3 linked regions of the Drosophila melanogaster genome follow. Changing the gene in region 1 together with any one later gene gives a genetic interaction. Each region holds a gene or a part of one and is shown in the gene's direction. Other genes may lie near its edges.

What was found. Genes that interact genetically often act in the same process or in processes that back each other up.
Region 2: of brk (region 1) and nab, changing one suppresses a phenotype caused by changing the other (phenotypic suppression), as found in Drosophila melanogaster (one study listed by BioGRID).
Region 3: of brk (region 1) and Abd-B, changing one suppresses a phenotype caused by changing the other (phenotypic suppression), as found in Drosophila melanogaster (one study listed by BioGRID).

The regions. Positions count from the first base shown.
Region 1 is NC_004354.4:7,305,259-7,312,536, forward strand, and holds brk (brinker), read left to right. Parts: upstream 1-2,680; 5' UTR 2,681-3,214; coding exon 3,215-5,329; 3' UTR 5,330-5,874; downstream 5,875-7,278.
Region 2 is NT_037436.4:4,153,984-4,162,457, reverse strand, and holds the start of nab (nab), read left to right. Parts: upstream 1-1,525; 5' UTR 1,526-1,808; coding exon 1,809-2,127; intron 2,128-5,961; coding exon 5,962-6,234; intron 6,235-6,344; coding exon 6,345-7,219; intron 7,220-7,999; coding exon 8,000-8,091; intron 8,092-8,212; coding exon 8,213-8,288; coding exon of another isoform or gene 8,289-8,348; exon of another isoform or gene 8,349-8,373; coding exon 8,374-8,474. Other genes in the region: mas (masquerade), read left to right, coding at 1-81, 141-463. UniProt on the Drosophila melanogaster protein: Transcriptional regulator that can both act as a coactivator or a corepressor depending on the context. Lacks DNA-binding domains and acts by associating with other transcription factors such as rotund (rn) and squeeze (sqz).
Region 3 is NT_033777.3:16,927,294-16,935,988, reverse strand, and holds the start of Abd-B (abdominal B), read left to right. Parts: upstream 1-1,746; 5' UTR 1,747-2,957; coding exon 2,958-3,618; intron 3,619-4,375; coding exon 4,376-4,587; intron 4,588-4,671; coding exon 4,672-4,873; intron 4,874-6,136; coding exon 6,137-6,351; intron 6,352-6,408; coding exon 6,409-6,600; coding exon of another isoform or gene 6,601-6,759; 3' UTR 6,760-8,695. UniProt on the Drosophila melanogaster protein: Sequence-specific transcription factor which is part of a developmental regulatory system that provides cells with specific positional identities on the anterior-posterior axis.

The DNA.
Region 1 (7,278 bases):
TGCCAGTGTGTGTGTTGCTTTTGAACTTTTTGTCGTTTGAATTTTTCGGGCCGAGTGTGTGTGCGTTTTTTCGGCATATTTTTGGGTTGTTTGTGGCCGCTTTACTTGGAAATGCAATTCCAAAATGTATTTCTCTCGCCTTTTTTAAAGGGTTTTATCTTTGGCGTCTTACAGATTTTTTCAAAATTTCTATTAATTTTTAATATTAATATTGTATGATATTTGTTAGTAATATCTATTGTTTTTAAATCTTTTTAGTTGTTGAATTTTAAGTAATTTTTCAATTTATTACTTTGGAACTTAACTTTTTTTTTAGTTTAGTTTAGTTTTTAGGTTTAAGTTCGTTACCGATTTTAGAGCTCCTTTTAAGCCCTTTTTTGTCAGTGCATCGAAGTTTATTTCTCGCTGTTCTTCCCGCTTGTTGTATTTCTTTTTTTTCTTGTGCAGGCGCTTCGCAGGCTCCATCTTGTCTTGCCGTCCCTTTCCAGCTTCCTTGATCTTTCCAGACAGTCCGTCGTCGGCTTTTGATTCGTGGGCACAGTGGGACGGTGGCGGGGGCGGCGGTTTGGGATTGGGTACAGTGGGGCGGGGGCAGCAGAGACGTGGGAATCTGAACCCCAGATATCTATGTATAGTTGTTGCTTTTTTTCTTTTGCTGGTTTTTGTTATTTTTTTTGTAAGAGGTACATAGGTGACTCAAAGATCGCTAGTCCTTTCCCTTTCCCACTTCATCTTACCATACCGCACGCGCAAATTGATGCTCAACAACAACACCATATATTTGATTTGTTTTATGTCATTTTTTCTATTTTTATTTTCATAAATTTGCATACACACGCAAGCGAAGCAGCCCACTGTCTCCGACAAAAAAAAATCACGCACACACAGAACCACACACGCATGCAAATAGCGAAAGAGAGCGAGGTGTCTGCGGCAGTGTGTGTGTGTGTTTCATTCATGAATCCAGATTTTGCCGAGGCAGGAGAACAGAAGAAGCAGAGTAAGCTGGTAACGAAGCAGAGGCAGCATTTCGGTTTGTCATTTGCAACAAGTGCGGAGAGGTTCTCTTGTACACATATTGTTGCTGCACTTATTGCATGCCCTTTTAGTTCTTTTTCGTTGCATTGTTTTATTTTTTCAATTTTTCTAAGCTTAGACAGAACGGCGGCAACGTCGACAGAAATAAGCTAAAGCTATATGGTATATATGCACCCACGGCCATAACAACGAGTAAAAAAAAAACCAAGATAGTTGGAAACCTCTGTGTTCGTCTGGCTCTATGTGTGTGTAAAAATATAAAAAATGCAGCAATGCATTCAACAGTTGATTCAAGAGAGAGCAAAAGGAAGAGAGAGAGCGGGCGGTTTGGTTGGCGAGAGAGCGGCGCTCAACAAGTTCGTTCGACGATCTGTTGCGCGGTTTCTACGGATGTGTGTGTGTATGCTGACGGGGGACGTGGGCACAGGGGTGTGGGTCAAAAGGGGTGGGGGGCTCTGGCCGATGTGGAAGGGGTATGGGGGAGGGCGGCGTGTGGAGTGGCAGTGCCAGAATGTCTGGCAGCCACGACTCTGGCGCACACACGCACACCATTCAAAGGTGCCTTTTGCACACGTGTGTGTGCGTGTGTGTATCTGTATGAGCAACTGGCAGAGCCAGCGAATTTGTAGCGCAGCCAGAAACAACAACACAACGCAACACGGCAACAGCAACCGCAGCCGCTAACAAACTGTGCTGCGACACAGTGGCACAAAAAGCTGCCAGCAAAGGGTTAAGTGTGGGCCTACTAATACATGTAAAAAACTAATTTTTGTAAACAGAATTTAAAAATGGTTTCCAAGTAGTGCGAACATTTGTCGACTTTGGGTTTATGTTTAAAACAATAATCTGTTGTTGGCAGATAGCTAACAATGTTTTAGAGATAGAAGAATTTGAAACGCGTTTCACTTATTGACTCGATGGCCTATAAATTGATAAAGGGTTTTTTAATTATTAAAGAAGAAGAAAATGTGTTATATTATCTCGCTGTTAAAAATGTTATCTTTTGATTTGTTCTATTCCATGTTTTTAGGTATCATATAATATTTTTTTTATTTTTTATATAAAAAAAAGCCATACGAATTGGTCCCACTGTGCGGTTCGCGGTGTTTGTCAGTTAGTCAGTCAGTCGGGTGACTGTGGCAATCGAAAAGAGTGGACAAAGACTGTGGCGCACAGGGACGGGGGAATGGGTTGCTCCGTCCCATGTTGTCCATTCGGTCCCACCGTGCACACAACTCAGCACAGCACGGCACAGCAGCAACAAAAGCGCCGCAAAAGGGAACTGGTATTATGGCATCCCGCTCGCACTTGCACTCCAAGCACGCACACATGCAAGCGCAGACACCTCGCGACACGATTGTCGTCAGTTTGTCTGCAATGCTCAGCTTCAGCGCCATGCGCTCTCTCTCTGTTGCTCGCTCTCTAGCTCCCCCTCTCACTCTCTCTCCCACTGCTGCACGCACACGAACACCCACACGAACAGCAGCAACAACAACAGCAGCGCACAGCAGACAGGCAGGCACTTTACGCCTGTGTGCGTGAGCATTTCAGAGTGAACCGCAGTCGACGGCGGCGCCGGCAGCGACGCCGGCCGAGGCGAGGCAGTCTAGAACGTATCTTCGAACTAGAACGCCGAGGGCAGAACAATTGTGTTTTGGATTCCTTGCCGTGCGGATCGCAAACGCGAGTTATGAGAAGAGCGTAGTAAAACGTACGAGAAGTAGCTAACAAGAAAAGGAAAAGAGCAGAAGAAGCAACAGCACGCAGACATATATTTTTTTTAACTGTGTTTTATTTATCCGATCTATACCAATCGAAATATACACAACTATATAGATTTGAAACGGATTTTGAAAAGTGCTTTCAAATAAACTCCAAAAAGTATCAGAGCGAGTGTGTGCCAGTGTGTGTATGTGAGACGCGTCGCAGTCGACGTCGCTGCTTTGGGGACAGAGCTGCCAGATCGCGAGTTATGAAAGCGCAAGCGTCGCACGCAAGTAGCAACAACAGCTACAACAAAAGCACCTAAAACTTACTACCTACTACTACTGCAAAACACACTTGTTTGACTATTATTTCGCTACATTAAAATCAACAAAAATACACACAAAACTGACCAGAATCTTGGGAAAATAAAAACAATCTTTAAAGAACGCCACGAAAATAAACCATAATCATGGATAGCAGCAGCGAACAGTTGAACGGATCGGGAGCTTTGAATTTCAAGCGGCCCAAGGATTCTTCGGAGAATGCCACAAACAGCCACACAAATAATGGCAATTCTTCGGGCAGCCCCAAAATGGGAAGTCGTCGGATTTTCACGCCCCACTTTAAGCTGCAAGTCCTCGAATCATACAGGAATGATAATGATTGCAAGGGCAATCAACGGGCCACGGCCAGGAAATACAACATTCACCGCCGGCAAATCCAAAAATGGTTGCAATGCGAGTCAAATTTGCGATCATCGGTGGCCAACAATCAGCAACAGCAGCAGCAGCAGCAACAGCAACAGCAGCAACAACAGCAGCAGCAGCAACTACTCCCACAGCAATCGGTATCGCCGACACCGGCGGTCAAGGTGTTCCATCAGCTGAGCCATCCGCTGGTGCACCAGTTGCATCACCATCACGCCGCCGCGGTGGGTCATCATCATCATCATGCCGCCCACCATCATGCCGCCCATCATCATCACGCTGCAGCAGCAGCGGCGGCAGCAGCAGCGGCAGCAGCAGCAGCAGCAGCCCACCATCATGCCGCCCACCATTTGCTGGCAGCCAATGGCATGGTTCCACACCCCCTGGCCGCCCATCCCCACTTGCATGTCCCGGTGGCAATGCATCCTCAAATGCAGCATCAGAAGGAGCAACAGCAGCAGCAGCAGCAGTTGCAGCAGGAGCAGCAGCAACAGGATCAGCAGCAGTCACAGCAGGAGACACCTGCAACCATTGCTACCAATGGCAGCAATCAGGGATCCTCGAATGTCCTTTCGGCGGCCAAAATAGCCGCTGTTGTTGCCGCCGCCATGGCCACCAGCAATGGCAATCCCACACCGACAGCAACAATCCCCGCCAGCAGCAGCAGCAGCAGCAACACATTGCCGAGCAGCAATAACAGTAGTTGCCACAACAGCAGCAGCAGCAGCAATAGCTGCAACAGCAACCAAGTGCCAATACAAGTGCCAATCCTGAGCGGATCCCCTGGGTCCACATCGTCAGCCAGTCACATTCCACATGTGCCCTTTGCCTACCATCACAATCTGCATGGCTATTTGGAGAATCGACTGGAGGCGGTTGCCACACCAGCCCCCATGGACCTCTCTCTCGGATCCTCTGCCCGCCGTCAAATGCAGTTGCACGAAAAGGATCCATCTGGTGTGGATCTCACTTTCCGCAAACGTAAGGTCATCACTAGTCCGATGCAGCCGGATAAGATTAGTAAGCTGGAGGAGGTGATCAAGAAGGAGCCCGAAACGGAAACGGAGAACGAGGATGTGGAGGTGGACGTGGAGACGGAGCAGCCGGAGGAGCACAAGCTGCCCTCTAAACAGGTCAAGCTATTTAAGCCCTATTTGCTGGACGATGATGAGGAGCAGGATCATCATCATCATCACCATCACCATCGGCAGGAGGATTTGGATGAGGGAGCTGCCGAGGAGGAGCAGGACGACGAGGAAGAGTCCCGCTATGCCGACGATGATGAGGTGGACTCCAAGGAGGCGGCCGACAAGAAACAGCGTCGCCTCAAGAAAAAGCCATCGGCAATCAACGAACAAAGGGAACCCATCATCTGGAGCAACCATCCGTATCCCGGTGGCTGTGTATCGCCCGGCAGTTCGATCACCAGCAGCTTTCAGTGCCCCACCAGTATGCAACAGCAGCAGACATTTCCCGTCGCCGGCGGGAGTCCTAATCAGCAATTTCAGGACAACTGCAGCTCCAGCAAAGCCACCACGCCCCTCAGCCCATTCTCGGCGCCCGCCCTCTCGCCCACCGGCTTCTGTTGCCCCAAAGGATCGCCCGTTTCCGGTTACGAGAGCAGCTCATCCACCTACAGCGACAGCGGCAGCAACTACAGCCTCAATCTCCAGCTGCATGCCGTCTACAACGACAATCTGATGTACATGCAACAGCAGCAGCAGCAGCAGCAACAGCAGCATCACCTGCAACATCAGCAGCACCTGCAGCGCTGGCTGGATCAGGAGTCCTTGGCCACTGCGAGGACATCATCCGTCAACCGACCACTGATTCTCGTGGCGGATACTGCGCCCACAAACCTGACCCTGGTGGCCTAAGAACACACACACACACACACACACACACACACACAACAAACAACACACACAATAGAAACTAAGGAAGCAGCAATCCCACCAATCGGATGTTATAATGGCAGTCACTGGGCCTGGCCTTTTAGTTCCCTAAGCCATATTTAAGCTTAATAACGTTTTTTTTAGCCCTACCACCTAAGTTTACCTTAATAAAAAATTGTATATCTAAGCGCAAACATATATCTTCCAAGCATATCAGCAAAAAAAACCCCAAACCCTAGGTATAAACCCTTCTTTTTTTTTTGGTTACACACTAAGAACAAATTAAGCTTAAGTTCAGATTTTTCTTTTTTTTTTTCTTGTATTAGCTTGTGTAAATAATTGTGTACAAAAAGTGAAACAAGGCGAAACAATTGAATTTGCTTAAGAATTTCAACGCTTCATTTCATTTGTATAACTTGTGGGAGAGTATTTTAAGAGAGAAAATGTGAAAAATGCAACTGGAAAAACTGAGAAAATTGTTAAGAGTAAAGCTTTAAAAACGAAACAAATACACACCTTTACAATACACACTTTTTTTATTTGGAAATTGAAAATTGAAAATTCTTGTGATATGACAACAACAAAACAAAATTTTAATAAAATTGTTGAAAACTGAAGCTTATTGAATATACAGCTATATTATACATAAATATATATTTACAAACACAAAAGAGAGCAAGAAATTTAACGTAATATTAAGGGTTACATTTAAAAGTTAATTATAATGATATACAATATACATATATACAATATATTTATATACAAACAAGAGGAGAACGTTTTTTTTTTTTTTTCATTGCCAAGGGAAATATTAAATGCGCCTATACATAGAGAAAGAGATATATATATCTAAATGTATGTATATATATAAAATCAGTATTTTTATATATTACATTTGACAACAACAATAATAATAATAATAATTGTGTGACCATACAACAAACAAACAACAAAATCAAAAGGAAAACGAATTGATTAAATTAACAACAGAAAACTAAAAAAACTTTAAATTAAACTGGTTTTATCATTGCATTTGCGTTGGGTTTCGAATGAAGTCATTGCTTTTCAGATGACTGCAAATATTTCAGGGATCTATCTATAAGATCTTTTTTGGTTTCTGGGTTCAAAAAAAAAAAAAATCAATATCAATACACCCCCGCCGCATCAATTGGGATAATCTAGATTCGAGAAAAATCGACCTGCCTTTAGCTCCGCAATTCTTCTTAGCTGTCAGTGTGAGGTTAAGGCCCCATTTATAGAACCGATCGCCGTTTGATCTTTGCGATCATACCGAATGTGCCATTCAAATGTGTGTGCGTTATTTGCGTGCCTCATTGTGACAACTCATGGGTTGTCAGTCAGTCAGTCAGTCAGTCACTCAAGTCAGGGCATAGCTTAAGGCTTTGGGGCTTTCCATTTCGAGTGCCTGTGCCACGCCCCCTGCCCCCCCCCCCCCCCATCCCCTACGCACAGACTAGACCACCCACCGCCCTCCGCGAGCTACTCGGTTTCTGGTCAAATTCGCTTGGCACATTTCAACGGCGGGGTATGACTAAGCCGCAAATTCTATAATGATCGTATTTTTAAAACGTTTAAAAATAAAGTGCTCTCGTTTGCCAATGTGTGCGCCAATCACGAGCCCCGAGCCGCAGCATTCAGCACCACTGCGATCCACAGCCACATCCACATCAGCATTAGCATCAGCATCAGCATCAGCACCACCGCAACTGCCACAGACGGCAGCTATCGTATCGTATCGTATCGGATCGGATCGGATTGGATCGGTTTGGGGGATCGGTTCTTGAGACAGAGCGGCATACTCATTGTTTTTCACTTGACGCGCTTTCCCTTCTGCAGAGCAAAAGGCAAATCCGAGCGATCGCTGCCAAAGAATTTTTGCGACATTTGCGGACAAAATAGACCCCACGGGA
Region 2 (8,474 bases), on another chromosome or scaffold:
TGGTGTGTCTTCCTGCACGAGGAGTCAGCCATGCGGCGGGCAAGCGATGCACGGTGACCGGATACGGATATATGGGTGAAGGTAGCGACTAGATCCTTATGATTACTTTGATAGCTTCTAACTTTTGGTCATCTTTTAAGCTGGTCCCATTCCCCTGCGAGTGCGTGAGGCGGAGATTCCCATTGTGAGCGATACGGAGTGCATACGGAAGGTGAACGCCGTGACGGAGAAGATCTTCATCCTGCCCGCCTCCAGTTTCTGTGCCGGCGGAGAGGAGGGACACGATGCCTGCCAGGGCGATGGAGGTGGTCCACTAGTTTGCCAAGATGATGGGTTCTACGAGCTGGCCGGCCTCGTCTCCTGGGGATTCGGCTGCGGGCGACAGGATGTGCCCGGCGTCTATGTGAAGACGTCCTCGTTCATCGGCTGGATCAACCAGATCATCAGCGTGAATAACTTATAGTGAGGAATCTCGCAAAGGACACACTGACACCATGTGCGGGAGGAACCCCGCTCTTGTGGCGATTTCCAGGACTGACGACTAGCCTGGTGTAGCCTACGATTGTTTCCAGGGGTTCCCGCTCTTCGACTGCTAACGTAACTCCATCCTAGTGTAATCTATTCATACCTAAACCTAACTCTAATGACTCCAAATCCAGAAAGCAACTATATTAACTATTATGATTATCGGTAGCGTAGACGGCAATCTTTAAAAGTATTCCCCTATTTGATAACGCCCTATGGTAAAATGTTTTTGTATATACAAAATAAATACAAAAAATCTTCAGTTATATAAACATTTGAGTATGGATTTGGTTGGGTAAAAAGGGTTTGGTTTAATTAATTTTTTAAATATATGATCATATTTTACAATAAGCTGTTTCTTCGTTTTCCACAAGAAACTGCTTACAAAATTTCAAATATATATTTTTCCTAAAGATATTTAAATATTTTCGAATTTTGGCGGCAAAGGAGAGCAGATTTTTCTTTTCTAGTACGAAAAAATGCAGTTGCATAATGATTCATTTGACATGGGAAAAGGGTTATGCAATCTTATACAACCTATTTTTTTTTTGCTGAAATTTGAATATTCCCAACAGATTTAACGGAATTCTTCACCAAAAAAACATTAAAAGGATCTTTTGGAAAGTCTCTCCGGCATTCCGAATCTTTGAGTGCTTCTCAAGAGGCGGAGCACAAAAACTCACTCAATGTCGCTCAATTGCGAAAAGAGAGAGAGAATGATTGTTCTCTAAGAGAATCTTGAGCATCGGCAGATAAAAAGTAACCCTCAAATCTGGAAACCAATGTCCTACGTTCCTAACCCTCCGAACAATTTGTTTGGTTTTGTTTTTATCCCTGATTTTAACCCTTTTTTTTTTTTTTGCCCCGGCTGATAGAAAACGAAAGCGCCCGGCACTCGGGTGGACTTCGGGTGGCTTCGTTGGCTTCGTTGTCGTCGGCCGGTTCCAAAAGGGTTCCTCAGATGTCCGTTCTGGGATTCGTGCACAGAAGTTCGTCTGGCCTCGAGCTGAGCGGATCGCAGAGATTAGAGAGACTGAAAGTGGCGCGAGTTTCGTTACTGCCGTTACAATCTTCTGTTTAACTCTCCCTAAAGAGTCTTATATACTTATCTAGTGTAGTTAATCGTAGCCTGTAGTACTCTTCCGATCCTCGATCCCTGATCCTAGATCCTAGTTTGCATGCATTTCGTCCTGGTTCTTTGTGTTTGTGCCTGGTATTTGATCGCCTTTCGTGCCAATCGCGTTAATTTAATCCGTCATCGTTTGCCAACGTGTTTTATCGCAATGGAGGCGAGCTCGAATCCCACAACACCCACGACGGCGGTGGCCACCACCACATCCACATCCAGTCCATCGCCAGCTGCCAGCACCAGCAGCAAAGGACACAGCCAATCCGCAACAGCATCTGCATCCGCCTCCGCCACACAGTCACAGCTGCTGACCACCAGTCTGGAAATGCCCAAGACGGAGGATCTGTACAATCTGTCCGTAGCCAGCGGACTATCCGAGGGACAGAGATCGCTCTCGGGCGCTCCGTCGGCCTCCTCCAGTCCCATTATGAGTCCGCAGGGCAAGATCTTTGGAAGGAATGCGAATGGAACAAGTAAGTAGTTTATTATTAACTGATGCTGTAATATGGTGAAAAGGATTTCCAAGGATATTACTGTGCTGTGTTACACTAGTGAACACAGTACAGTTGTGGATAGAAGTAAAAGGTTTTCTATGCTCTCACTTAAAAAATAAACTTTGGTAATCAAAGTACAATTGTAGAAAGGGAACTAATTGTTTTGAAACAAATTAAAAGTTTCTAATAGAAATTCTTTGTGAAGGATGCCTGTTTTCATAATTATAAACTATTTTCTGTCAGTTAATTTCTTTGCGTTCTAAAGGCTTTCAAAATGGTTTATGTTGATGGTAATTGAATATAGTTTTTGTCGTTAAAAATACCAAAAAAAATTTGCTGATACAGGTTCTAATTATCTCCGAAAGCCATGCACATCCTTTCGTCATTGGCTCATGCAGATGTCTTCATTTGTATAAATGTTATTGTGTCCAATCCTGATCCTTCGACCGCAACGAATCCTTTGACAAAGGAATCCTCATCCAGCCACATGCTGCAATTTTCGCGCTCTTTTCGCGAGCTTCCATTGTCTGGCGATGTTATGTAACGGAAAACCGAAGGAGCTTGTCCCTGTCCTTCAAGGACCTCCGTCTATTAACAAAGGAAGCTGAAAGTTACCTTTGCTGGGTAATAATTTAATTTCTTAAAAAATAGCGGACCCTGTTCCGGTTTTCATTTCCTCGGTGCTCGATTGCTTGGGGTGTCTTACTTTGCATATTTGCTCAAGGTCTAGGATTTCTTAAGGCAGCAATGGCAGACTTCATCCAATAGGATCCATGCCAGACCCAGGTAAGATGCCTTTTCCTAGGCAGCCGTTAGATGAACCTCATGATGATAGGTCGCGTCTTAGGGGTGATATGAAAAAACGTTGTAAGGAAACGGAAAAAACTCACCCCAAGCGATGAGGGTAGTAAAATATTTCAATAAATCTCAGTTGGCGGAAGGGGAGGCAACCAACGAGACGCGTTCTCGTTGGAAAAAATGCTCAAGCGCCGAAAGAAAAGATGTCGTCACACAGAGAAAAAAACATATATATATCCAGTTCTTAGTGATTCAATCAACTTATATTATCTAGTTGGTATCACTTAATATAACATAGCATTTCCAATGAGTATCCAGTGTATCTTTTATTTAGATTTATACAAGTACAATGGACATGGCGAAACAGGTCCTATTAAAACCCTCAAATTGGCAAGATTAAGATCGTAATGACCCCGAAAATAATGCACTTAATATTTTGGACAGACATTATTCTTTTCCTGTGCAGGTTATGGTTATGGTTCCTCTGCCGGGGCCATTGGCCATTGGCACGTACGGTCCACGTTATTGCCACCAATGGAATTTTGATCGACAAGAATTTGGTCGTTGAAAAAGTTGGCTTTTAATTTATCGTTGTATATGAGAAATAGTTTCGGTTACTTGCCCATTGCCGATGCCAAGCAGAAAGGGAGGATCGAATGGAGGAGGAGGAGGAGGATTCAGACCCTGGTCCCAGTCCCAAGTCCCAGGTTCCAGGTTCCAGGTTCCGATTCCAGGTCCAACTCTCCAAGTCAAAGTCTGCAAAGTCCGGCGTCTACTTTTTGCCCATAATCGAAGCGATCGCACGATTGACTGCTCCGCTCCACACGCACACACAGACCGCTCACACACACACACACATGCACTATAACGCATTTTCTAAATGCACTGTGAGAAAAGTGTGTCAAAATAATACAAATAATATAGGCATGAGCGAGGTACATACTTAACTTAATGCTCAGAGACGCCTTGTATGAAATATATATAATTATAATTTCCATTAGAAACAATTATCACATCTTATCAGAATCAACCACACTTTTTTTCTAAGTGCCTATCCTGCTGGCTGCTCGCGGTTTTCCGTTTTCTGCTCCTGGCTGCTTGGGCAGCTGCTTGGTATGTGGCGTCGAATGTCATTATTGCTGCCAAGTGCCAACTAAAAAGTTACTGCAGTTAATTTTTTGTCCATCTTCACCATTTGCCGTTCGCATAAAAACAGCATATTTAGCAAATGACAACAACAACAGCAGCCGCAGCATCGGCTCTTACGCAGTGGGTAAAAAAAATGAAAGCAAGCAAAAAAAAAAAAGAAAACCAAACCCGCAAATTAAATAAATAAAAAATCAGCAACAATCCGCAGAAGCAGAGGAGCTGGAGCAGCCACAACAAAGTGTCCCCAGTTCTCCGCCTTCCCAGCCTCCCGCTTCGCCATATCCCCCCCGTTCCCCCCACCATTCACATTATTTGTGTATTGAAATCACGTCTCATTTATTTATTGCTACCACCGGCTGCCCCTCTCCGTTTGCTCCACCAGACTCCCGACTTACGCAGGTCTGCGTTAAATACCCAAGTTAGGATCAGGGAGCGGGCGGTGGCAAGTGATGGAATAGACCAGAAGTGTGGCCACGCTCTTAACCCTTCAGCGGTCACTCTAGGTTTTTTTTTCAATTTCAAGATCAATTGAAAATCTTAAGAAAGCTTTCAGAAAAGCATTACTCATATGTATCTTTTCATTTTAAATATATTATATGTATATAGAGATATATAGATCATAAACTTTCACTAAAACTGGCCAAATGTGTCTATTATAACCCTCTCATTAACTAGTTTTAATAACCTTGTCACTTAGCTACTAGTTTGCTGGATTTAGCGTACATTTATAAGCACTTTCAAAGTCGACACTAATTTCAGTCCAGTTCAGCTCAGTTGATCACAGCTTTCAAGTGGACGCAACTGGTCTGATATTTTAGTTTCCAAACTATTTATGATATACCCAATTAAGCGGCTAAGAATGCGAATTATTCTTGCTGCCTGGCCATAAATCGCAACAACCCCATGGAGCGGAGCGTGGGTTAATGGCGCGAAGTGCGCATCCTTGGTGTTGCACGTCGGTGGATGCGCTTGTGGCTTCCAGTTGGCCAAGGCAACTGAATACAAACCACAAAAAAAAAAACAGAGCGAGTGGAATCGGAGGATGGCAATCGATGTAGGCAGCTTTTTCTGCCCTGAGTTTGTTATAATTTAGCCGACCAGCTCGTTTTTCTATTAATTAAAGCTGGCTGCAGACGTTGTCGCCGCCTGAAATATTCTCACATAATTATTTACGATTTGACATAATCATCATCCTCGTCATCGGCGTCGTCCATTTAGAGCTGTGCTGCCATAACAGTTACAGTCTCCTCGATCGGGGGATTCATTAGTATGAGCAATAAATCGCTGGCTAGTCAGGATGGTTTCCTATGAACTTGAGTGTAGGTACGACTTTATATGTATGTACATATATATTTCACACGATGCCATCCCATATACCCATGAAAATTTACCTATTTTGAGCCAAAAATTGAAAGTGATAAAAGCAAACAAAAAAAAAGAGAGAATAGGTTAGATTTAAATGATGATCCTGGCAATCCTTGCTGGCATCTTGCGCATGCGTGACGCATTTCTAACGAGTTTGCCGACTCAAAGCGGATCGTATCGCATCCTTGGTCTTTCAGAAGGGGTTGAACCACCATGCTTATGCAGATGAGTTGGTTCCCAGCTCTTGCCTCATCCTTTTTGTGTGCTTTCGAGTTTTTTTTTTTTGCTCTGCTCAGCCTCTACGAAAAAAGGGTTAGGGTCCAGACGTCCGTCGAGTTTTTTTTTTTTTTTGGGTAAGAAAAAGCGAATTTAATTAAAATTTTTTTCTTATAGGCGCGTAGCATTGTGAGAACGTCGCAGGCCAGAACTTAATAAATATCATTTTTTGCTGGAACTTCTTCAAGCCAGTTTCTTATGCATACGTTTGCTTGTATCTTCCAGTGATCACCACATCGCGACCGGGCAACGAGGCGGAGGTGCAGCTGTACCGGGTACTCCAGAGGGCCAGTCTGTTGGCCTACTACGACACCCTGCTGGAAATGGGCGGTGATGATGTGCAGCAGTTGTACGACGCCGGCGAGGAGGAGTTCCTCGAGATCATGGCCCTGGTCGGCATGGCTTCCAAGCCACTTCACGTCCGCCGGCTGCAGAAGGCGCTGCACGAGTGGGCCAACAATCCGGGTCTCTTCCAGGGACCCATGATGCCGCATCTGGGTAAGTTTAAGAAATATGATATAAGGAAAATGAGACTTTTACAATATTTAGTTGATTTGATGAATTTCCGCCTCTGTAAAACACTTTTGCTAATACCTTGTTACTTGCAGGTCTCTGCGAAACGCCACCGAAACCGGCATTGATCTTCAATCCGGACACCACGCCCGCTCTGCCCCGCCAGAAATTTCCCTCGTTCAATCCCTCGGGTTCCTCCTTTATGCCCTCGCCGGTTCCCCCAGCTCCACTGCCCGCTTCCGCCTCGGTTCCCGCTCCCACTGTCCCCTTGGCTACCCAGATCAGCTGTCCCTCAGCTCCTTCGGTGCCCTTGCCGCTGGTACTGCCCCCCAACCCGCTGACCAGCAGTCCGCATCCCTCGGCGAACAGTAACCTTCCGGCGAACACCGCCCACCAGGTCTCCTCCAGTTCGCCCCAGCTCACACCTGTTCTGACCGAAGCGCAGATCCAGCGGATAACCATGTGTGCTGATAAGATTGGCAGGCAACTGCCCCAGAGGGAACCGCGCGCCCAGACCACCAGGAAGCGAACCACCCGGGAACTGGAGCAGGTTATCGCCATGGGGGAACAGGATCCGCGGCGCATGGACGAGATCCGTAAGTACTCGGCCATCTACGGCCGTTTCGATTGCAAAAGGCGGCCGGAGAAGCCGCTGACCTTGCACGAGGTGTGCGTCAATGAGGCGGCGGCCCAGCTGTGTCGGAATCCCCAGACCATCTGGCTGCTGACCCGCCGGGATGAGCTGTTCCCCCTGGCACGGCAGATTGTCAAGGATGCCGGGTTCGGCCACTCGGCCAGCATTGCCCGGTACGGTGGTCTGCTCACCCAGCTGCCGTCGCAGGGAGCGGGATTGGGCGGAGGACGGGCTCCTGGCGACACGGACTGCGAGTCCAGTGACGCCGCCGTGCCCTCCAAGCGACAGCGACTCTCCTCTACGGAGGCTGCGCAGCTGCCGCTCGACTTGAATCGGGTAAGGAAGCTAGATACCGTAGAGCTATAGGTCCGGTGCCCGGTGCAGTGCTTCAGCTTCGCTTCAGAGTCCTCCGGACGGAGGTGCTCCCTGATAACCCAACAATTTGCCTTGCAGCTTTCGCGAACGCCAGAACACAATTACTAATCCTAGTCGAGAGGTTCTTCTCAGAATATCCCGACCTGTGGAGAGGGATCCAAGTTCACACTACAGTATTTTTGAACTAGACTTGATAAATCTTACTTCTAATCTTGTAGTTAAAAAACTGACTATAACCCATATAGTCTGTGTAGTCAATTTGGTCTTAAAGACCTTTGAAAATAACTAAATCACTAATGTATTTAATTCTTTAATCCTTATCGTCTAGCTTTATTAGCATGAACTAATATATATTCGTAAATGGTTGTGTTTTTTGTAGTTTTTACTGTTGAGTTGCTAGTATTTGTTGCTTGAAAGTTTATTAGATTAACCTATGCTTTAATCCTTTATAATTTAATCACTAACCCATTACAATTGAATCTTATTAGATATAAACCCAAGTTATTTAGTCAGTAGTCGTTTTGCAATATATTCTTGTACCTTTTCCCACTTACGAGTCAATAAATAAATCCTACAAAATTGCCAAAACCAACGATCCACGTGTCTTCTTCCTTGGCCTACAAAAAAACTCTTTCCACGCAACTGCCTCTTGCCTCGCTTAGCTTCCATTTGGTTCCATTGAAATGCGATTGAGAGTCTCTAATCCCCGATCTTGTTGATAAATCCAACCCAAAAATAAAGGAAGCTGTCGAGGATTCGCGCTACAATCTGTTCGCCATGTACCAAAAGTTTGCCAAGCCGCCATTTGATCTGTCGGAAATTGCCAAGTTCTCGTGAGTATAAGGTCAAAACTTAAAATTAGCTTAATATATTTTATATTAATATATAATGTATTTATATATATATACGTATACAAGCTAAACATTATTTTATAATACTTAAATTAATTTTCAGAGTCAGCAAGGCGGCTGATTATGAGGACAACGATTCGCGCTTCTCGTTCAGCAACTCAAGCTCGCCGACCATGCCAGTGAGTATGTGTTGGAGCTCTACGAGGGCATTCCGTTACCCGGGAAAGGCCGAAGAATAAGAGAAATACATTTAATCCTCCACAGACGCCATGCAATGGAATGGAAGGTGAGCGATCGCCCGTCTCTCGCCAGATGGAGACATCGTCGCCGCCACGGGAATCAGTGGATCTGAGTGGCACATCCTC
Region 3 (8,695 bases), on another chromosome or scaffold:
CCACCTCGTTGCGCCGACAGCGGCGAGCATTTCTCCCTCCAGCGTCAGTTCCCATCCCACAGGTAAGCTAAAATTATAATTAGTCCGGTTTAAGCCAGATATGTATTTAAATATGTAATATTAAGGCGTTAAAATGCTACTAATAATTATAAAATGCTATTGTGCAGAGAGTTTATCCCTTTAAAATAATTCTGCGTGTTAGCAGAGTGGTTCAATAGGAAAAATGTCAATCATACTTTATTTCTATTTATAAATAAAAAAGTTGAATAATAATTTCAATCGAAGAAGTTATTTTTGGAAATAGATTGCGGCAGTTAATTACAAGTTTTGTATTATTATAAGTAGAATTCTTGAAGTTTTTTTGGGGTTTACTTGATCAACTTTGTTATGTAAGCAGTTGGACTCTTCAACTAAATGCGTGATGTGAAAAATTAAAAATGAATGTTCTGATTTCACATAAGAAATAATATTATTCGTCTCCAGTCGCGATGACTTCTGACATTTTCTTAAGCCCCTGCTCAAATGTATTATTGTAATTGCTAAGTATGGATTTTTATGCGATTGTACATACATTTTGTTGTCAAACGGGTTGAGAGTTGTTCTCATCGCATCCTTTTTACGATTTGTTAACATTTCCTTGGCCTCGACTGCGTGCCTTTTGCTTTTCTTCCAATGGCAATTGCCATAAAATTCCCATAATTGTCCATTGCAGCGTAAAATTTGGCAACTGCCTTTGGAAGTGAGACAAGGAGGGGAATCTGTAGAAGAGCCAAAAGGGAGAAAGGATGTTGAGATAGGGGTGAAAAGAGACCCGGGGTTTCCTAACAATTGGGCTGTCATAATTTGCTGACTGAACTGGCGCACGCATGTATTTGTTTAACTAATTAGCATTAATTAGTCACTGCGCTTGACGACTCGTATAATTGGTCGCGATCCATGGTCTTTATGCAGTGAGTTTTTCTGTATGTTGCTGCTGTTGTGGTAATCGATAAAAAGCGCCAACAACAAGCCAACTAACTACACACAATGTGGTGCCATCTACCACGCCTCCCCGCCCCCATTCCATCGAAATCTCGGACATAGATGGCGCTGTGGTGCGCGCGTGTTAAGTATTCAAATCAGCCCCCAGAATCGGGCAGTAAGAGCGGGCGGTGAGTCTGAGAGCGTTTTTTGTTCGTTGAAGAGCGGATGCCTTCACACGTACACTGTGCGTGTGTGTTTCGCCCTCGATGACCCCCTGTGACTTGGAGCACCTGCTGAGCTCAGCGAATTCCAGAGCCAGTCCCAGTCGAAGTGCGATACCATCTTTACCTCATTGAAGGCGCTAGTTGAAACAGTGCTATTTCCCCCAGCAACATCCAAAACTCTCTTCGGCTCCCCCCACTTACACACGCACACTCGCTGACAGTCTGGGATCCACACAGACGCTGTATACAGTGTACGTGTGCATAACGCGCCACAAGAGAGCCGCACCAACTGCCATCAACATAACATCAACCACCACCACCATCAATCTGAGTGCTTGTGCAACATGCGCATGTCCGCGCTCTCTTCCAAGTCACACGGACGGGGAGGCACACACACACACACACACACACACACACACACACACACTGGAGCGGGCTGGCGCCGCTGCGCTTAGAGTTTGTGTTCGTGTGCTGGTTCTGGTTCTGGTCTTGGTCTTGTGTTGTCGGTGTGCCGTGCCAGCGATGTGGATATGTTGTCGCCGTGCGCGTTGCTGCCGTCAGTGTAGATTTGTGCTTCGCTCTGTTCGGTTGGAAGGCGCGCGGGCGTCCAGCAGCAACAACAGCAACTACAACAACAGCCGAGGCAAGCGGCCCTGCAACTTCGTCGAGGACTGGGACTTGAACGATTTCGTACTCGCCGTCCATTCACATTCACATTCGACTGGGAGTGTTTCGTTCGAACGGTTCGAAAAATACAAGTTGAACATTTTCGAAAAATTTAACTGAAAGAAGAAACGTTTTTGGAGTCGTATAAAAAATTAAATCAAAAAACAAAAAACACAATCAAAACATCGTGTCGCCGGCGTTGTGAGGAGAAATAATAACATTTTTGTTAACTGTTGCAAACATTGCCTTTAATTGTTTGTTTTGGTCGTAAAATCAAATTTTATGACCAGCAACATAAAAAGCGAACGCCAGCAGCAGCAACAACAACGACTGCAGGCCCCACAAATAATAAACTATTTATGATAATTATAAAAGAGAGAAGAAAATCAAAAACAAACGCCAACCGAAAAAAAAAGAAAAGTGAAAAGAAAACATTAACTGACAAAGGAAAAATTGGAAAAGTTTTGGAAAATTGGATTGACCGAATGAAAACTGAAAAAAGCCAATTTGAAAATACTGCGTGAGTTGCTGACGACCGCAAGCACCCTGTGAAATTCAAGCTGATTCGATCCCCTGTGCAACAACAAAGTTACTCTCTTCGCCCGCTCTTTAGGCAGTGTGCGTGTGTGAGTAAGTCGGCGTGTGCGTGTGACCGCTGACGGACGTTTGTGTGCGTGTGCGGTACGCAAATAAAAGGGGCAAAACTCGAGTAAAGGTGCTCTGAATATTAAAAATAAAAATTATTAAGTCGCGAAAAAAATATAAAGAGACTTAAACAATTAGAAAGGCGTCACTCAGAGGAGTGAGAAAAAAAAGACAGAGAAAGGTCGGTGGGTCGAGGCGATCGACCCCACTGCACCGCCTTTATCCTCGCCGCCGCAGTTCGAGTGCAACGCGTCCAAGATAACCGTAAATATTCCACCCCTCCCCCAAACCCCAACCATCCCGCTGGCGTGCGCTCTCTACGACCCCCACGATGTCTCGGCAGTCGGGTCGCACGCCGCTGCCGGGGCGTGGTGGGGGCATCACACACACACCCACACCCACGTACCCACCGCCCCGCACCCGCATCCGCATCCCCAGGCGCATCCCTCCCTGCCCGTCATGCAGCAGCACCATCTGCAGCAGCAGCAACAGCAGCAGCAGCAGCAGGAGCAGCAGCATCTGCAGGAGCAGCAGCAGCATCTGCAGCAACTGCATCACCATGCGCACCACCACCTGCCTCAGCCTCTCCACACCACCAGCCATCACCACAGCGCGCATCCCCACCTGCAGCAGCAGCAACAGCAGCAGCAACATGCAGTCGTCGCCTCCTCACCCTCCTCGGTGCTCCAGCAGCAGCAACAGCAGTCAACTCCCACCACACATTCCACGCCCACGCATGCGGTTATGTACGAGGATCCTCCGCCTGTGCCACTTGTCGCCGTACAGCAGCAACACCTCCCCGCTCCGCAGCAGCAGCAGCAACTTCAACAGCAGCAGCAACAGCAGCAACAACAGCTGGCGACAACACCGGTGGCCGGCGCCCTCAGTCCTGCCCAAACACCCACTGGACCCTCCGCCCAACAACAGCAACATCTCACATCGCCCCACCACCAGCAACTGCCGCAGCAACAAACCCCGAACAGTGTCGCCAGCGGCGCCTCCTCGAATCTCCAGCAGCAGCAGCAACAGCAGAATGCTGCAGTTGCTCCTGGCCAGACGCAGATCGTTGCGCCGACCACGGCGAGTGTTTCTCCCTCCAGTGTTAGTTCTCAGAAGGAAGGTGAGGTCCCAGAAATATAACTTTCCTTGGGGTTGAAAACCAGCGGATTTCTTATTGGAACTCCATTGGTTATGGGCTTTCAAAGATCGTTGGGAAATATATTTTTTGAAATTTTCTACATCTGAACTGGAAAACTCTCGAAATAAATTGGGGACGTTAAATTGGGAACGGGGTCGTTCCACTTGTTTTTTTTTCCCCCCAGTTGCAATAACGTTTCAGTTGTGCTGATTGCAGCACGTTTTTCAAGGCTGATAAGGCTTTTCTTTAACTCTCCCAGGAATCGTCACGCATTTAATTTATTTACTCAAAATATTTGCGTCTGTTTTATCATTATAGACTATATAATTGCAGGGTGGTAACAACTTTAATTTTGTAAGGAAATTAAAAATTTTTAAAAATATTGTTTGTGAGTGTACTGAAGTTCTTCAAAACTGCATTGGTTTTTTTTTAAAGAGTTTACACAAAAAAAAAAATTAAACGATGATTTGAAACGTAATCGTTATGGTAACCATTTTATTACCTTAAGTGTTGACACGTGTTAAATATACAGATTTATATATAGACGAGGTGTGAATGCACCCACATCCATGACATCGACAAACAATCTAAGGGTTATAGGCACAAATGCCACGCCAAGTGATAAAATGCCAAATGATCAAGGAGGTCGATTTGATCATAGACAGTCGTTAAAATTAGACTTACCAGCCCTAGTGCCAATATTAACAGCAGCAAATCTGCGCTTATCGTTTACTTTCAGACATCAATATGTCCATACAATTAGCGCCACTGCATATACCCGCCATCCGGGCCGGTCCGGGATTCGAGACGGACACCTCGGCGGCGGTCAAGCGGCACACGGCACACTGGGCCTACAACGACGAGGGATTCAATCAGCATTACGGCTCCGGGTACTACGACCGCAAGCACATGTTCGCCTATCCTTACCCAGAAACGCAGTTTCCGGTTGGTGTAAGTATGGCCACAGCGCCACCCACGCCTCCACATCAGTTGTAAGCAACTTCGTTCCAACCCGACCTCATTTCTCCCCCGCAGCAGTACTGGGGCCCCAACTACCGCCCCGATCAGACCACCTCTGCCGCAGCGGCGGCGGCCTACATGAACGAAGCGGAGCGCCACGTGAGCGCCGCCGCCCGACAGTCCGTCGAGGGCACATCGACGTCCAGCTATGAGCCGCCCACCTACTCCTCGCCAGGCGGCCTGCGCGGCTATCCCAGCGAGAACTACTCCAGCTCAGGTGAGTCCAGACCGGCCAGAGTCGGCACACTTAAGGGTAACGAGGTTAGGCACACTGGAAATAATTTTGAGCATCTTGCAACTCTAGTTTGGGAGGAGAAATTTTAAAGATTAAAAATTAAAAATTTACTGTTTACAATTCTTAAAATTTTTAATAAAATATTTGGTTATTCATATGAAATTAAATTAAAGTGAAAAATTATACGAATTCAAAATTCTGTTTAAAAAGAGGCGTTCAAATTCCACCTAAATGTTTTTAATTGTAAAATATATATTTATAGACCGTCAAATTTTCCAATGAATCGATAATTATTTGGAAGTGTTTTTTATATGGTGCTATTATTTTTTTTCCTAAAAGCCAAGCCAATTATTTAAACAGCCCTAAAATATTAAGCATCCTACAATATAAAGTTCAAGATTATTTGATTTTCCTATGTGCACTAGACTTTTCGTCGTCGTATCGGTTGAAATAGCAAATTGCGAAACCGTCAAGTTTGTCGTTCAATTAGCGTAGTGCAAAACGGCCCATAAATCGATACTCGCTATTTGGCTAGCGTTACGCCTTTATGTGGGTGCGAAAGTCATTGGGGTTTGCATTCTATGGGGTTGCCTGTTTATGTTCGTGTCTTATCACCAGGTGTTTTTCAACTGCCAGAATTGTATCTGTCGACTAGTCATATTTTCCCAGTAGTATCCATGGTATCCATAGTAAAGACTCGTTATTATGGCGGAATATGTCAGTTAAGTGACCTCGCCAGCCAATTTTACAATTGGAATTCAGGTCTCTTAGGCTCGATAATTAATTTCCAATCTGACCTAACTGTCCTAACTGTTCAATGCTACCAAGACTAATCGAAGAAATCAGATTAGATTCGAAAAGCTCTTCACTCGTGCTGAACTAGCGTTTAAATTAAAATAAATCCAACTTGTCACTTTATTTCAACATTAATTTAATTGCTTCATTTGGTCGGCCAATGAGCGGGAACGAATGTATTCATTTAGTGTTATCCACTCGAGTGTGAATATGGGCCTCATGCCAATTCGGAGCTCCGCTCCCCGTACCGCACCAATTAAGAGGCCATAAATGAGGAATTGAATAATTTCGTATTACGCTTATTGCTAAACAATTTCCGTAATTGCTCTATAAACTTAACGATCTGATATTGCACCGAACACCGAGCAACAAAACCATCGGACCACCCGCACTTGCGGTTTAATGAAGTTAACCATGTAGTTTAACCCCATTACTTGATGATGTTTTCAGGAGCCTCTGGTGGATTATCCGTGGGAGCAGTGGGTCCTTGCACGCCCAATCCCGGACTGCACGAGTGGACCGGTCAGGTGTCCGTCCGGAAAAAGCGCAAGCCGTACTCGAAGTTCCAGACCCTGGAGCTGGAGAAGGAGTTTCTTTTCAATGCGTATGTTTCCAAGCAAAAGCGCTGGGAATTGGCCAGAAATTTGCAGCTGACCGAGCGACAGGTGAGTCCATAAACCTACTGACTTGAACTGAATTCATTAAACAGGCGTTCCTTTCAGGTCAAGATATGGTTCCAGAATCGGCGCATGAAGAACAAGAAGAACTCACAGCGCCAGGCCAATCAGCAGAACAACAACAACAATTCGAGCAGCAACCACAACCACGCGCAGGCGACCCAGCAGCACCACAGCGGCCACCACCTGAACCTTAGCCTGAACATGGGTCACCATGCCGCCAAGATGCACCAGTGACCCTTGGACAACAGCAGCGCTGGCGCCATGGGCTTTGCCACCTACTAGCAGTTAGCCAATCCGAGTTCGGGTAACCCCAGCTCGAATCCCAACCCCATGTCCGATCCGAATCACCATCATCTAATCAAGAACGAGCTGGCCATGGACTTTCCATGCTAGTCCAGCGATTGGAAGGGCGATTCCAGCCAGGCCGAGTTCAGTCGGTTAAATGTACAAAAACCAGAGATCTCTAGCATGCGGGATAGGAATATGTGACCACAATGAGGAGCAAGGATGTGGATGAGCAACTGCCCAGAAGTGCGCAGGCGTCGCTGATGTGTGACCAACCGACGTTGATGCAAATGCAGTTTATTATTAAGTCAGTTCTACGGATCCCAGAGATCCAAGCCCCAACACGATAATGCAGCTTAGTTCGGTAGTTGAATATAGATACGAGTAAGATGAAGAGTAAGCAGCAGCAGTAGCAGATGCACTTGAAATTCGCAACTGTACGAAAATATATGTATGTACGTATTTCTCTCAACGCTCTCATTAGCCTAGGCGAGCACTATGAATTTTCCGAACTATAAATTATGAATATGAATATACTTAAACGTCAGTGAATATAACCCCGCATAAATTATGAATACACGCGTTCGAGTAGTAGATTTTACCATACCTATCCAATTAAGAGCGGCCACAAGGCGGCTGAGTTAGGCTGAGCAGCAGAACACATTTTAGACCCAGATAAATGTTCTTGAAACACAAATTGAAATTGTTTAACAATTTTCGGACCCCTCACAGCTCCGCAAACAAGAAGACACACTCCGCAGTCTAGGATAAATTTTGTCGTATAATGTTCGTCGTGTCGTGTCCTTTGATACCTTCTAAGTTCCTGTATATAAACTAAGACATTGCGCTGATTTCCGGCCGAAGCGAGCACTCGATAACTAAATTACATCAGATATATGTATATGTATATTGCGTACACGCAGAGATATTCAATATTTGTATAATATGAACTCGGATTCGATTTTAGCAAATGGTTAATTGTAAGTTGCAAAAATTTCAATGAGTGTGTGCATGTTTACCCCATAGTTGAAGTCGCTTTCGAATTAAATTAACTCTTAAACCAAGGAAAACACTTAACAAAACTACTCGTAAAGCTAAAGCAACAAAAACTTAAAAGATACACACTTAACAGAAGTAAGCGAGTGTGAAAACGATGGAGGGGAGATGTCGGGGAGGAGTAATTAGCATACCGTAACAGCTACTTATATAACATACACATAGTACATATAGTAATCGTACATATGCATACATATATTTTCATGTGTATCGACGCCGCTTGATCCTGATATTAAGTCTAAGTTTAGTTGTGTTGTGTAATTATCGATTTTGTTAATGTTTTGCCCCGAGCATTATATTATATTATGCTAACCTATACCTATACCTACACCTACACCTATGCCTATCATTATATGTGTATAATTAGCCTATACATACTTGATGAAGAAATGATTTCACCCACTGCTTTATTCATGTTCTTGTATTATTATTATTTCGAGCCCTCGATAAGTTGTAGTCTAAAGTCGGTTATGTTTATGATTATGTTCGATTATAGTTTGTTTAGTGAATTTTAATCTAGCGTTAGCAATTCTCTTTTTTAAAAAGTTAATTATTGTGAATAAAATACAACAAGTTGCAGAAGTGCAAAAATATACACACAATTCAAAATATCCCAATTACTTCGCATTACTCCGCATTCCGTACAACACCATTTTCGATATCCTTTGGATATCCTCCACAACTGTTCTATTTTTTCATTCATTATTTCGGTAAGTACACCAAAGAGGAGGATGCTACCACATCGCAAGCGACCTCTCACCATCGAATTTATTCATAGACATCCAGATACTCGTACTCGTACAAAACGTAAAGCAAAATACGTATGTACTGCACTTACTCGTAGGGGATCAGCTCGTAATCGCCACTTCCTCAGACAAAATATAAAAATCTGATACAGAACAGAACTTTCTGAATTATTTCATTTCGATCTTTGTTTCCTTTTATTGCGTTTCCTGATTTTTGTTACAGTATTTTTACACGGATATTG